3 linked regions of the Nothobranchius furzeri genome follow. The protein of the gene in region 2 interacts with the protein of the main gene of each other region in a pairwise test. Links are inferred from orthologs where the notes say so. Each region holds a gene or a part of one and is shown on either strand. Other genes may lie near its edges.

The links.
Region 1: the proteins of nrip1b (region 2) and calcium and integrin-binding protein 1 interact in a two-hybrid assay, tested with the Homo sapiens proteins (2 studies listed by BioGRID and IntAct). The link is inferred for Nothobranchius furzeri from reciprocal best matches to the Homo sapiens genes NRIP1 and CIB1.
Region 3: the proteins of nrip1b (region 2) and rorb interact in a two-hybrid assay, tested with the Homo sapiens proteins (2 studies listed by BioGRID). The link is inferred for Nothobranchius furzeri from reciprocal best matches to the Homo sapiens genes NRIP1 and RORB.

Annotation. Positions count from the first base shown.
Region 1 is NC_091744.1:74,254,014-74,257,671, reverse strand, and holds calcium and integrin-binding protein 1, read right to left. Parts: upstream 2,220-3,658; 5' UTR 2,008-2,219; coding exon 1,957-2,007; intron 1,714-1,956; coding exon 1,679-1,713; intron 1,584-1,678; coding exon 1,484-1,583; intron 1,373-1,483; coding exon 1,219-1,372; intron 1,138-1,218; coding exon 1,019-1,137; intron 912-1,018; coding exon 823-911; intron 740-822; coding exon 718-739; 3' UTR 548-717; downstream 1-547. Other genes in the region: RCC1 domain-containing protein 1, read left to right, coding at 253-419. UniProt on the Homo sapiens protein: Calcium-binding protein that plays a role in the regulation of numerous cellular processes, such as cell differentiation, cell division, cell proliferation, cell migration, thrombosis, angiogenesis, cardiac hypertrophy and apoptosis.
Region 2 is NC_091750.1:42,800,821-42,805,135, forward strand, and holds the start of nrip1b (nuclear receptor-interacting protein 1), read right to left. Parts: upstream 2,849-4,315; 5' UTR 2,622-2,848; coding exon 1-2,621. UniProt on the Homo sapiens protein: Modulates transcriptional activation by steroid receptors such as NR3C1, NR3C2 and ESR1. Also modulates transcriptional repression by nuclear hormone receptors.
Region 3 is NC_091757.1:36,863,273-36,867,517, reverse strand, and holds the start of rorb (nuclear receptor ROR-beta), read left to right. Parts: upstream 1-1,398; 5' UTR 1,399-1,738; coding exon 1,739-1,745; intron 1,746-4,245. UniProt on the Homo sapiens protein: Nuclear receptor that binds DNA as a monomer to ROR response elements (RORE) containing a single core motif half-site 5'-AGGTCA-3' preceded by a short A-T-rich sequence.

The sequences.
Region 1 (3,658 bases), on a different chromosome or scaffold from region 2:
CTTTGGTTTTATGGCTTTTAAGCTTATATCTGTGTTTTTAGTTTTTTATGATTTTTTATTGTATTTACTGTTCTATGAAAGTGTGAATGATGAGGTGGATGACGATGAGCCCTCTTAAAGACAAATTTCTGTAACCGCTTGGTGTCAGACAATAAAGTTGTTCTATTCTTACAACAGGATATCAACTCAAATTGAAATTTAATATATTATCAGCAAATATTAAGCTATTCTTTTTCTGTTCTTGTCCCCCAGGAGAATACGGCCAACTTGGACACCAGACATTTAACAGTTTAGACGAACCGCGACGTGTGGAGTTTTTTAAGGCCAAGGACCTGCATGTTGTCGATGTGGTGTGTGGGCCGTGGAACACTTTTACTGCCGCCGTCAAGAAGGGAGTACTTGATCTCAAAAATACCTGACAATCCCCTGAATCTGCCCCCACGTTGGACTTTGGTCGGCGTACAAGGAAGTCTAAATTACATCAGAAAGTTACGCTGTGGAAAATGTTTTGTAATAAATTATTTGTGTCAATGAAGAACTTTAGTAATCTAATACCTTAAACTTTTATTTTAAAGATGTTATAAAATATATATATATATATAAATTTCACAAACAATTCATAAAATCATAAGAGTAAAATCCAGAAGTAAGTAAAATTTAAAGGCAAGTATAGTTTTTCACTAAAAACAAAATTAAAAGTTGGCCATTTCCAAGGCCTCACAGCACAATCTTGAAAGAACTGTGGGGGGAAAAAAACAATTGTGATGATTAGAAAACATTTCCTCAAGATTTATGTGTCAGATATTATTTTGGGAAAACCACCTGACAAAGTCTGGAGATCTTGAAATGACATGCTGAAACTCCGAGAGATTCACCGTCCCATCCTTGTCGATGTCTGACTCTTCAAGGATCTAAACAAAAGCAAGATTCATTTGTGCCCAGATGATGCCTCAGAGCATCTCTTTGGAGTGTGCTTCTTGCATCTTTGAGAGAAAAAAAACAGTCGAAGTGAACTCACATTAGTTATGAGCTGTCTCATTTCCTCAGTGGTTAGACGCGAGTCTTCCGACTCATAAGTCAAGCAGTCAACCAGCTTCTCCAGATCGCCACAGCTGAGGGTCCCATCATTGTCAAAGTCTGAAAATATAAAGCTAATGATCAGACAAGATCAGTGCAGCTAAGAAAAAACTGACCAGCTCGTGTTTTATCAACATTTACCAAATATACGGAAAGCATAGTGGGATTTTATTTCCAACGTAGCCGAGTCACTGAAGGCACTCAAAAAATCCAGGAAATCGTCAAAGCTGAAGCTTCCATCGTTTGGGTTAGTTGTTGAGAAAACCAGGCAGATTCTTTCCTTGAAAGGGTTAGACTAGGACGAGAACAAGTTCAAAGTTCACTTTATTAGATCATCCACTTCCTCTATAAAGATTACACCAATAAATAGAAACGTTGCCACACTTCTACTGAAATTTCCTGTTACCTTCAGCTCAGGCAGCGTGAGAATCTTTGTCATTGGAACTCTGGCATTTGTTGAGTTTTTTTCCTCTTTGGGGAGCAACTCAGTGAATCTCTTATGAGCACTTATTAGGAAAAAACAGGAATAAATCAGACATCTATCCCATGATCTATAAGAATAGTTTACATTTTCTTAGTTGTCATACAACCTGTAACTTACAGAAGAATTTCTTGTTTAGTCAGGAAAGTCAGCTCCTAAAATCAGATGTACTGTAGATGAGTACAAGTCAAAACAAGCCCCTTTCTGATTCAAAGCTATCAGCATTACCAACGTTTAGCTTCTATGCAACAAGCGTCTGCTCTTATCCTGGCTGAAATTCTGACTAATTTCGTATTTATCTCAAAACCTTTGATAAGTGTGATTAGTATAAATATACTCTGTAAAACTAAGTTTTCAGCATTTGCTGGACTACAGCAAATAACACGATAAACACTTACCTGGTATTCTGACAGGTCAGCCTTTCCGAGTTGACTCGCTGTAGTTCCCATCTCAAACTTTTTCGATTAAAATATTTGACTTATATATTTGAAAGCAAAGACTGTTAAAATGTCACTGTGGTCAATAATAATCCGCTGCTCGGTGAGCGGCGACGAAGCTAGTTTGTTGTTGCTTACTTCCGGGTTCGTGCAGGCGCATTCCCGTATCTTTGGGCGCGTTCATGTAATGCCAACGCTGAAATGACGTAAAATAAAAAAACATTTCTTTTGCCCCTTTCATGGAGCACACACGTTAAGTTACTTTTCCTCTGATAACCCTGGTGTTACAACTATTTATTTGTCAAATATTAAAAACTTTTGGAGCATTTATTTTAAGAAATGGTCTGTTTTTTATTGAATTATCTAAAACCAAAAATACTTCATATCAGTGCATTATAATTTTATTATAATTGTAAAGAAAAAACATGCACTTTTATTATTTTAAGCACTTGCCATTCATTTTTATTTAAAACTTGATAATTTATCCTTTTAGCTTTATGAAAATTCTTAGGTAATTCACTGTGAGAAAATATGCTAATTTTACTCAGTGCATACTAGTATTTAAAAAACATCTTATGAAAGACAATTCAATTCAAATTCAAAGATACTTTATTAATCCCAGAGGGACATTAGAGTTTCAGTTCACACAATTCTGAGATCAGACATATATACATAGTCATAGACACATGACAAGAATTGGTGACTGTGGTCATTCGCAACCCGAGTGGTGCTACTTTAATAGAGATCAGAGGGTTTATATATAAGGATTGAGTCAGGTGGAGGAAAAAAAAGGCACTTCAGAGTTACCCTCCACAGGGGGGCAGCTTCGCTATGTAAAAAACACCTCAGACAGAAATGCAACAGACTTCAAACATTACACAACATAAGTGTCCACTAGGTGGGGAGGTAGGGTTGGGGACTGTCCACACATCAGTGCATGCAGCCATGATAAACAGCGCTCGTCACCTCTGTTTGGACAGGGGAGGGAGGTAGTTGGGTTTAGAGAGCGATTCAACGGCCTTCACCGGTCACAGTCCCGCCCAGGCTGGGATAGGGAGACAGAGTTACCATGGCGATGGCAGCATTCCACATTTCTTCTGAGGGGGAGTAATCTCTTCAGCCTCACAGGCTCAAGGACACCAGATTCAGATAAGAACTTGTTTTGGGGCCAGACAGAGATCATTTCCTCTCTGTCTTAAAGTTCTGTTGGTCCTCAACCCCTCTAAATCCAGTAATGGCGTAATTTATCTATCCCAATCCGTGCTGATCCGTCAACTTTCTCCTTGATCAAATCCACCTTCTGTGCCAAAGTCTGAATCTCAGCCAAAGTTCCAAGCTTACGACTCATCTCGACAATTATATGAGTTTATGCGTTCACAGCGTGGTGTAATCCATCCCTGAGCTCCGGGAGCGAGCCAATATTCCTCGACAGCTCATTAATTTTCCGGTAAGTCAGGTAACCACTCAGGCCAAAAAGCACGAAACCTGACACCAACACCACGAATATCCAGACGTCTTCAGAATCCTCTACAGACAGTTGAGCGAGGCAGATCAGGTTCCACTGTTTCCAGGAGTCCATGATATGCCCAGCTGGCTCTGTCCCAGAGGGGCATCCGGGAGCCCCTTCTCCCGTTCACATCGTTGAAAAAATTTTGTCAATCGC
Region 2 (4,315 bases):
TCCTGCTGAGGGTCGGAGAGCTGGCTTTTCTTCTCACAGCCACTCAGTCTCTTTTTGCTGCTAAAGTCCTCAGACCTGGCAGGAGGTGGCCCCGCCTCCTCTGTGAGCTCAGACTTTACCTTCACATCTAAGATAGGTTCGTTAGAGCTGTCACAAAGGACAGTGGTGGCAGGGCTGGTCTCGTAGCACCCCCCAGCTGCCTCAGTACTCCTCCGGTAACCACCACTGGACTTGTCTTTGCGGCTGGTGGTACTGCCGGCCGACCCGGTTCCTAAAAGAAGCTGCAGCACAGTGCGCCTCTCCAGGAGGTTCTCGATCTGTGAGGAGGGAGTGGACGGCTCCTTGTGAATGAAAGGTGTGCCGCTGCCTGATGCTCCATCTGACAGTGGAGTGGTGCTGGTCCGGTGGACTGGAGCATTAAGTCTTTCCATCAAGGCCAGGGGCCTGCTGGTGTCGATCTCCTGGCCCAGGCCTTTGCTGGAGGGGATGGGCGGGGTGGAGGAGGAGGAGGAGGAGGAGGTGGTGGTGCCACACTGGGCCAGATTCTGCAACAGTTTACTGGCACTAAAGGCTGGCTCTGAGGACCTCTCAGCTGGGAAGGCTTTAGACTTACACAAATCTAGTGGGCTGGACTGAACATGGGGGGAGGGGTAAGAATACGGGGAAAGTGCACCACTCGGGTCCTGACTAAAAGAGTAGAGGGACTGGGGCGGACCTGCTGACTTTTCTATGGAGCTTCTGGTTCTGCTCTCCTCCCAGGACATCAGTCTTTTCTGCTGACTTTGAGACATGGTGGCCATAGTTATGTCAAGAGGCAAGTCCTGTGTCCCGCTGCTTTTGCTAGCCATCTCAGAGTTCCTGCGCTCGAGCAGCAGCTGCATGAGAGTGACCTTCGGGTGGGATTTTAGGTCCGGACTCATTTCTGGCTCCTTGTTGTTGGAGACGTTTGATCTGGATGGCTCTGGTTTCCACTTGTTTATTAAAGACTCCGTTAGCTTGTCCAGGGAGGAGGTAGGGAAGGAGGAGGACGAGGATGAAGAAATAGCAGTGGATACAGAGGAGACAGTCAAAGAAGAAGGTGAGTAGGATGAAGTGGAGGGCTGAGCACTGGCTTGAGGAGAGGATGATGCTGGGGTGGAAGACAGCACCATGGTACAGGAAGAGAGCACAGAGGTGACGGAAGAGGAAGAAGAGGGAGCATTTTTGGGCCCAGTGTCTTGTGCACTAGCACTGCCACGACCTCTCATGGAGAGGTCAATTGGGGAACAGCTGGAGTAGGAGCTCTCAGCATCACTGCTGTCCTTGGTCATGCTTCTCTCATGGGTGGAGCATTCACTGTCCGACGTGACAGAAGAGGAGCCGCTTGGAGGCAGAAGGCCACCGATGTCCTCCAGGTGTCCGTTCTTGGTCAGCTGCTTCTGACTGTTGTGGTTGTTCAGCAGCAGCAGCAGCAAGCTGCTGCATGTCTGCGGTGGGCGGACTGGACGAGCATCAAAGCCTCTTTTCTCTCTGGGGGGCTGGCTCGGCGCGTGGGGAGCAGCGGGTGGGGAGCTTTGGCTGTGGCCACGCAGCAGGGATGGGCTCTGAGGACTGGACACTGCCGTCCGAGGGAGTGTTGCCATCATCGTGGTAGTTGTCATTCCATTCTGAGTTGCTAAGGAGCTTAGTGTGTCTGGAGACCCCCCAACACTTGGAGGCCTTTTGTCTGTGTCGTGCTGCTGGCTGGCCATTGCAGCCAGTCTCTCGCTGGCTGATCTCCCTGAGAGCTGGGCTTTGAGAGCATGCTCTCTGGAGTACTGCTGCAGATGTGCTTCGCTGGACAGCAGCAGAGCAAGCTGACTGCAGGCCACGCTGGGCTTTGGTGAGGGGGCGGGGCTAGAACGAATTTTCACCAAGTTAGCCACTGCTTTCAAACGCTCAGCACAGGACACCGACTCAGCAGGAGCAGCAGGAGGCGTGGCGCTGTGTGCTGATCGAGGGGACTCTGGTGGCCGGTCCTGGCTGTGTCCACGGCGGCTGTAAGGGGTGTTGTTGTGATTCTGTAGTTTGCTCTTCCGCATGAGGCCTTTCAAGCGGCTGGAGGCTGTCCCATAAACAGGTAGGGGCTCTTTGTCTGCAGCTGGAGCCTTGGCTGGAGATGGACACTCACTGGTGGGTTTACTAGTGTTCTGAGACAATGCCACATTCTGAAGCTGTGATGTGAATGACTGAAGCAGAGATGCCAACAGGGTGCTCTCTCCAGCATTAGGGGATTCCTCCAGCGTTCCGTTTTGCAGGCCTCCCACTTGGCCATTCAGGTCCATGGGGGGTGAACTCAGCCGCTGGTTCCCCGGATCATTCCACGCTCCGGAGCGCAGCAGGCGAGCCTTCTTCAGGTGTTGTGAGGAACCCAGAGTCGGTCTATTAGTTCCAGCCTTGGGCGCTATTGGAGCATGGTGAGTTAGTGGGAAGGACCCCCCCACCTTGTTGCCCTGTTGCTGATTGCTGTGGACAGCCTCGGACCTCCCGCCTGCTGTGGCCCCAGGCCCGGCCACCACTGGATGCATCAGTAAACCTTCCAGATAAGTTAGAACAGCTGAATCCTTGTGTGTCTCAGGGCCAGGCTCCTCCCCATGAGTCATGTTCAATACTCAGATCCCCTCGTATTGCTTAGCACTGCTACTGGAAAATAAATGTGATCTGGGTCATCTGGTTCAGTCATGCACTGGTTAGTCACCAGAAAGAGGGCCGGTCTTGGCGCCAGGTGAGAACAGAGAAGAGCAGAAGGATGCGCTCGCTGGACTTGGATCGTTCTGAAGAGGCTACAAGCAGCAACGTGCTGAAGAAGCAACCATGCCTGGAAGCAATCTGGGGCAGGCGGCCCTCCAAGGCATTGCTGTATGCCTATAAACGCTGCAGGACCCCAGAAGGCCAAGATTCAGGTTGATGCCAGTAGCAAGCGAGGAGTCAGCAGGAATCCACCACCATGATGTTGACGCATTCCATGGTTGTCTGTTGTTCTGTCAGTGGTGTCTCTGTAGAGCTCACAGCTGAGGGGGGAGATCTATAAAAGTGAGAGATAGAGAGAAAACAGGGAGGGGTGGTGGGGGAAGGAAAAAGGGGAAAAATAGGAAACCATGTGAGAAGCAGGGATTTGCAGAGCACTATATCACATTCATTTCCCCACCTTGTCTGCCATCGCTGTTACTTAGCAACATTTCAGATTGACTGCACACGGCTCCTTCTCTCTGCACTCTTCCCTCACAGCCACCCAACACACAACACATGTAGATGAGCCTTGATTGGATTCAAATTGAAAATTCAAGCTCACTACCTTGAAAACATTCAGGTCTTGAGCTGTAAGCCTCTCACGGCTGTGTCTTTCAAAAGTGAAGGGCCTTCTGAGAGCTGTGCATAATTCTTTATGCAGCTTGCCATTTCACTGGATTAGCCCCCCCCCCCCCCCCCCCCGACTCCGTTTGCAATTGAGCTTCATCTAAAACCACACAACCCTTCATCTAGCTACAGTAAGAGCCACCCACCCACCAACAGAAGCACGCTTGCTTAAATACACGAATGAGCAGAAGTATGAGGACATACAGTCTGAAAACACAGAGGACACCGTGAAATAGTCTCTGGGCATTAAACAAGTATAAAGTATTAGGTGAATACATCTGAATTGTTGCATAATGTCTTTAATAATTAAGGTCTTAGCTCAGGCGCGTGTTAACACAATGCCAAAGAGAAAAATCATCACAGACACAAGGAGCTCCATCTCAGAAGCCTATATTAGCACGTTTAACGTTAAATGGCTGATCAGCTGAAGACACAAAGCTCTTTGTGCTAAAGACAGGGCAGCCGGGCCACGCTTATGTGTGGAAAGTTACCCTTGATCAAACCACAAGGTTTCTGAAGCAGCAACTACTGGGCCATAATGAACAGGATCAAGTCTGGAGATCTGATGAGCTGTGATTTAAAAAAATTAGTAACATCAATGCAAAAGTCTAAGCATCCTCTTATTTTCTATTGGAGATTATTTGCTTTTTAGGAAGGAGCTGCACCTTTTTGCTCTACACCTGACCAAAACTAGGGATGCACCGATGGATCGGCATTTGATCGTAATCGGCCGATAGCGCCCCTATCGGTTTTGATCGGAATTTTCAAAATAGATCAAAGCAAACCGATCAGGTAGAGTTGTCACGGTAACCAGTGTAGCGGTAAACCCCGGTAAAAAAAAAAAAGTTGACAATAATAATAACCGTCTTGTTTTTTAAAAAACTATATTATCTTGGTGGGTTTACCGTGGCTGCGGTGTAGGCGCGGTGACCCTTACCAG
Region 3 (4,245 bases), on a different chromosome or scaffold from region 2:
CTGCTTCTATCCATGCTCAAACCTCCCTCAGACATTCTCGTTAAAAACAATGGACCCGAAAGTATTTTTTTGTTTTGCTTTCTGAAGTTAAAAATGAATAAAAATAACTAAAATCTTTAGACGTTCCTTTTAAATTGCTGCATTTGTCATCAGCACAAACAGAAAATAATAAATTAGAATAAATGAAATAATTTTGGGGAAAAATCTCATTTAATCAAAGTTTTATATTAGTCAAGGGTCTGTAACAACTAACTTATGATGGCTGCAGCTAAATAGTCAAGTGTGTTCATGATTATAAGATCAACACGGATGTTCCAGATGAAGAAAAAGTCCCATTCAAAGCAGAAACTCTGTTGCAGACCAGAATGAACAGATGAAGAATGAAAGTAACAGTGAAGTTAAATGATCAAAATCCCACATTCCCAAAGTTGGGATCAGGACCCCCTCAGGGTCACAAAACACTAGTTTAAATTAAATTTTAAAAAATTTAAAAACATATCTTATTTGTTTGTTTTCCCTTTACTTGTGTAAAAGATATAAATAATTGGCTAGTTCTCTTTATACTCTTGTTTACCTTGTTTAATTATCTGAGGTTATTTTGTCAGATGAAAAGTTTGTGAACCACTGATCTGAATCAGATTTGAACAATCAGGATCTGAGTTTCTTCTGTTTGAAGTGGAGCCAGAAAACAAGCCAGAATGCCCCGAGGCGTTCACTGGATCGGTCATTTCACAGGGCAATGGTGGTCCGTACTGTAACATGCAACTTTACTTTCTCAGTTTCCTTGTCATTATTTAGTGTTGGAAAGGAGGACCGCGCCCCGATAACCATCCTGAGGACACATGAGACAATTCATGCCATCTGAGCTGCTCGTCTTTCTGCCACAGATCTATTCACCGTAATCTGCATTTAACTATTGCATGAAAACAGCTAAATGCCTCCATGCATAAAGTGTATGTTTTATGCATAGATCACATTGTTGTGACTGCAGATTGGTTTCAGCAGTTGTCCTGATGATGCAGTTTGTACCCCTGCAGCAAAACTCTAATTCTGGACATCAATTAAGTGCTTTTCTGGAAGGTAATGGGTTTTGTTTTCCTCATGTTATTTTTGTGCACCTTGGAACCAAAAGCACCAAAAGTATCCTCAGACTTAATTATTTGAACAGTTTTAACACTTTTAATAGAAAATGATGGGATTGACTCAATGTGGATGATGATAAAACTTTACTGTGCTCATCGTATGAGTGTGTACGCGCGTGTGTGCGTGCGTGTTGAAGCTCCAGGCTGCAGGCAGATTGCAGGAGAGAGTGGGAGGAGCGGAAAGTGCTCCAGTCCAATCCGGGCCGACGGGTAAAGCCGCTCCTGTGCGCTCTTCCCTCCCTCCGCCCGCAGAAAACAGTGAAACTCTCCCGTAGATGTGAGAGCGCAGATGTCATGAGAACAGCGGCAACACGACCACAGCACTCCGACCGACGCGCCGACCGACCTCATCGCGCCCCAGTCTGGGATGCTTTTAGCGCAGACACGTTTCCAATCAGTGCAGCCGGTGGACGTTGACGCGCACCGTCTACGCTCTTTTTGCCTTCGTTGTTATTTTTAACCGAGGATCTTTTCTCCCGCACACACAGCAGCAGCCCCCTCCACCTTTTTAAAAAGAGTTTATTTTTGTTTCTTCATGACTGCTGCTTTGGGAAGCGAGCCTCAGCACCAGCTCCAGCTCCAGCAACGCCAACACGATGCGAGGTAAGACCACAGCGCTTCCCACAAGCTGGAGACGCGCACGGCACGCGACACTCCGCATTAAAATTAGAACTTTATTCTAATTTCATTATTTAATTCTGTTTCATTATGAAGGGTTGTTGTCACTTCACTATAAATATTTACATCTGCTTCTCTGTATCTTATTGCATTTTTCTGCCTTTATAAACAATATTAAAAGTTTTCTTTTTCGATTTATTTCCCAGAATTTCGTTCTGGCCCCAAGTGTGACAATACTTAAGCTGCACGTTAACACCTAAATCCACTTTGGTTACAAAGCAAAAGTGGCGCATGACGCGTGGAACTCCACACACCGGTCTGACTGCCCTCAGGTCCAATCAGGTTATCACTGAGTCATAATTTATTTTATTGTCCGTGAGTCCGGTGATCAACTTTATTGAATGATGTGGGGGGAACTCTGAAGCGCCCCACTAACCCATTTCTCCACGCGCTGCGGTGCGTCGTGGATGTTGAACTCCAATGTCAATGTCGTCTTGTGCGCGCACTATCACGCGCGCGCTGTCTCACACACCGAGCCGCTCATTGACCCACAGGTCAACAACTCAAGCCTTTCCTCTAAGTTAAATTCACTATCAGTCAGAAAAAAGTAATTATTTTTTTCGTTTTTCCGGTAATATTTTAACTGTTGACTCATTCAGGGCCCTTTCTCTTTTTCACGTGGACTTTCCACTCTGTGTGAAATTATATCCAGCTCACTGGTGAATGGCTGTTGCTCCATAAAGTTTAATTAATCTTTTTTTAATCATATCATCAGATCATAACTTCTCACAGTGCCAGTGTCTGACTTTTGAAGTAGAAAAACATTTGAAACAAAAAGGCTATCCTGTCAAAATAAAAACAACTGAAATTTCAACACAAACAGGTTCACTTTAGAAAACTTCACTAAAACAATGAGATCATTATACGGAACTGGTCAGTTATTTTCATGAAAAAAAAAGTAAATATTTTAGCAACACATTTCTTGAAAAGGTCCAATTAGAGGCTGCAATAAAGTTTAATTCAAAGCATTTCCTGCTAATTATCTATCTATCTATCTATCTATCTATCTATCTATCTATCTATCTATCTATCTATCTATCTATCTATCTATCTATCTATCTATCTAGAATGGATTTGTGTTTTATGGTCACATAACTGCTAGCGTCAGGCCATGCATCCTGACCAAGTAAAACCATGAGAAGTTCAACACCCCCTTCGCCCCTCTCCTTCTTTCTCCATAATCCCATGACAAACTCTTCTGCCATCCACCTTGTGTTTTATCTACGTCCTAATGGGTCTTGCGTCCACTCTCGTGCACGGGAGGCTTTGAGGGGCGGGGGGTGCACACAGAAAGCTTCTGCTTTCACTTTATAGCCGTGGTTGGCAGAAGAGGCCCCTGAAGCGTCTCCCTCACCCCTCTTTCAGCATCTCTCTCTCTCTCCCTCTTTCTCCCACTCTTTCCTCTCTCTCTCTCTCTCTCTCGCTCACTATCCATCTTCCTCTCTCTCTCTCTGCACGCCCCAAAGGGTTTTGTCAGATAGAATTAAATCAGTGAGGGCTGTGCGGCCTCCGCTCCCAACCTGTGTGTGTGTGTGTGTGTGTGTGTGTGTGTGTGTGTGTGTGTGTGTGTGTGTGTGTGTGTGTGTGTGTGTGTGTGTGTGTGTGTGTGTGTGTGTGTGTGTGTGTGTGTGTGTGTGTGTGTGTGTGTGTGTGTGTGTGTGTTGGCTGCCCTTACACAGAAATGTGCTCACAACCAAGGTTATAAAAAATAGAGGCCTCTCATGAGCCGTGGTAATTAACATTTAACAAAAGCTACAACTCCTGAAGCCCTTACCGAAGATGATGTCACTGCATCACCCGGTGTGGAACAGCCAGAAAAATAACATACATGATATTATCATAAGGACATTCACAGCTTCTGAGGACATGGACCGTTTTTTTTTTTCTTATTTCAAAGAGGATAACTGTTTTTGTAACATGACGATAAATTATGTGTTGTGGATGCTGTTCCAAAAAAGTAAAGATAAATGATATTACAAACAGCAGCTGGATGTAATTTAAACTGTTAAAATATAATTGCTTTAACAAAAATGAACTCTTCAGTTTTGTTTAATTAACCCCCCCACCCCCCCACCCCCATCCCCACCTTCACCCCAACAACATTATTGCTATTTATTTTGACTAGAATGAGCAATAAATTGAATCTATGTAATTAAAAATGCACAACATTCCAGGTTGAAAGTTTTTCTATATACAGGTGAAACTCAAAAATTAGAATATCTTGCAAAAGTGTGTTAATTTCAGTAATTCATCATAAAAAGGGAAACTAATACATGAGATAGACTCATTCCATGCAAAACCAGAGATTTCGAGCCTTTGTTCTAACTGTGATGATTACAGCTTGTGAAAACTCCAAATTAAAAGTCTCAGACAGTTAGAATATTGTGAAAAGGTTCAATATTCTAGACTTAAAGTGTCTAATAAG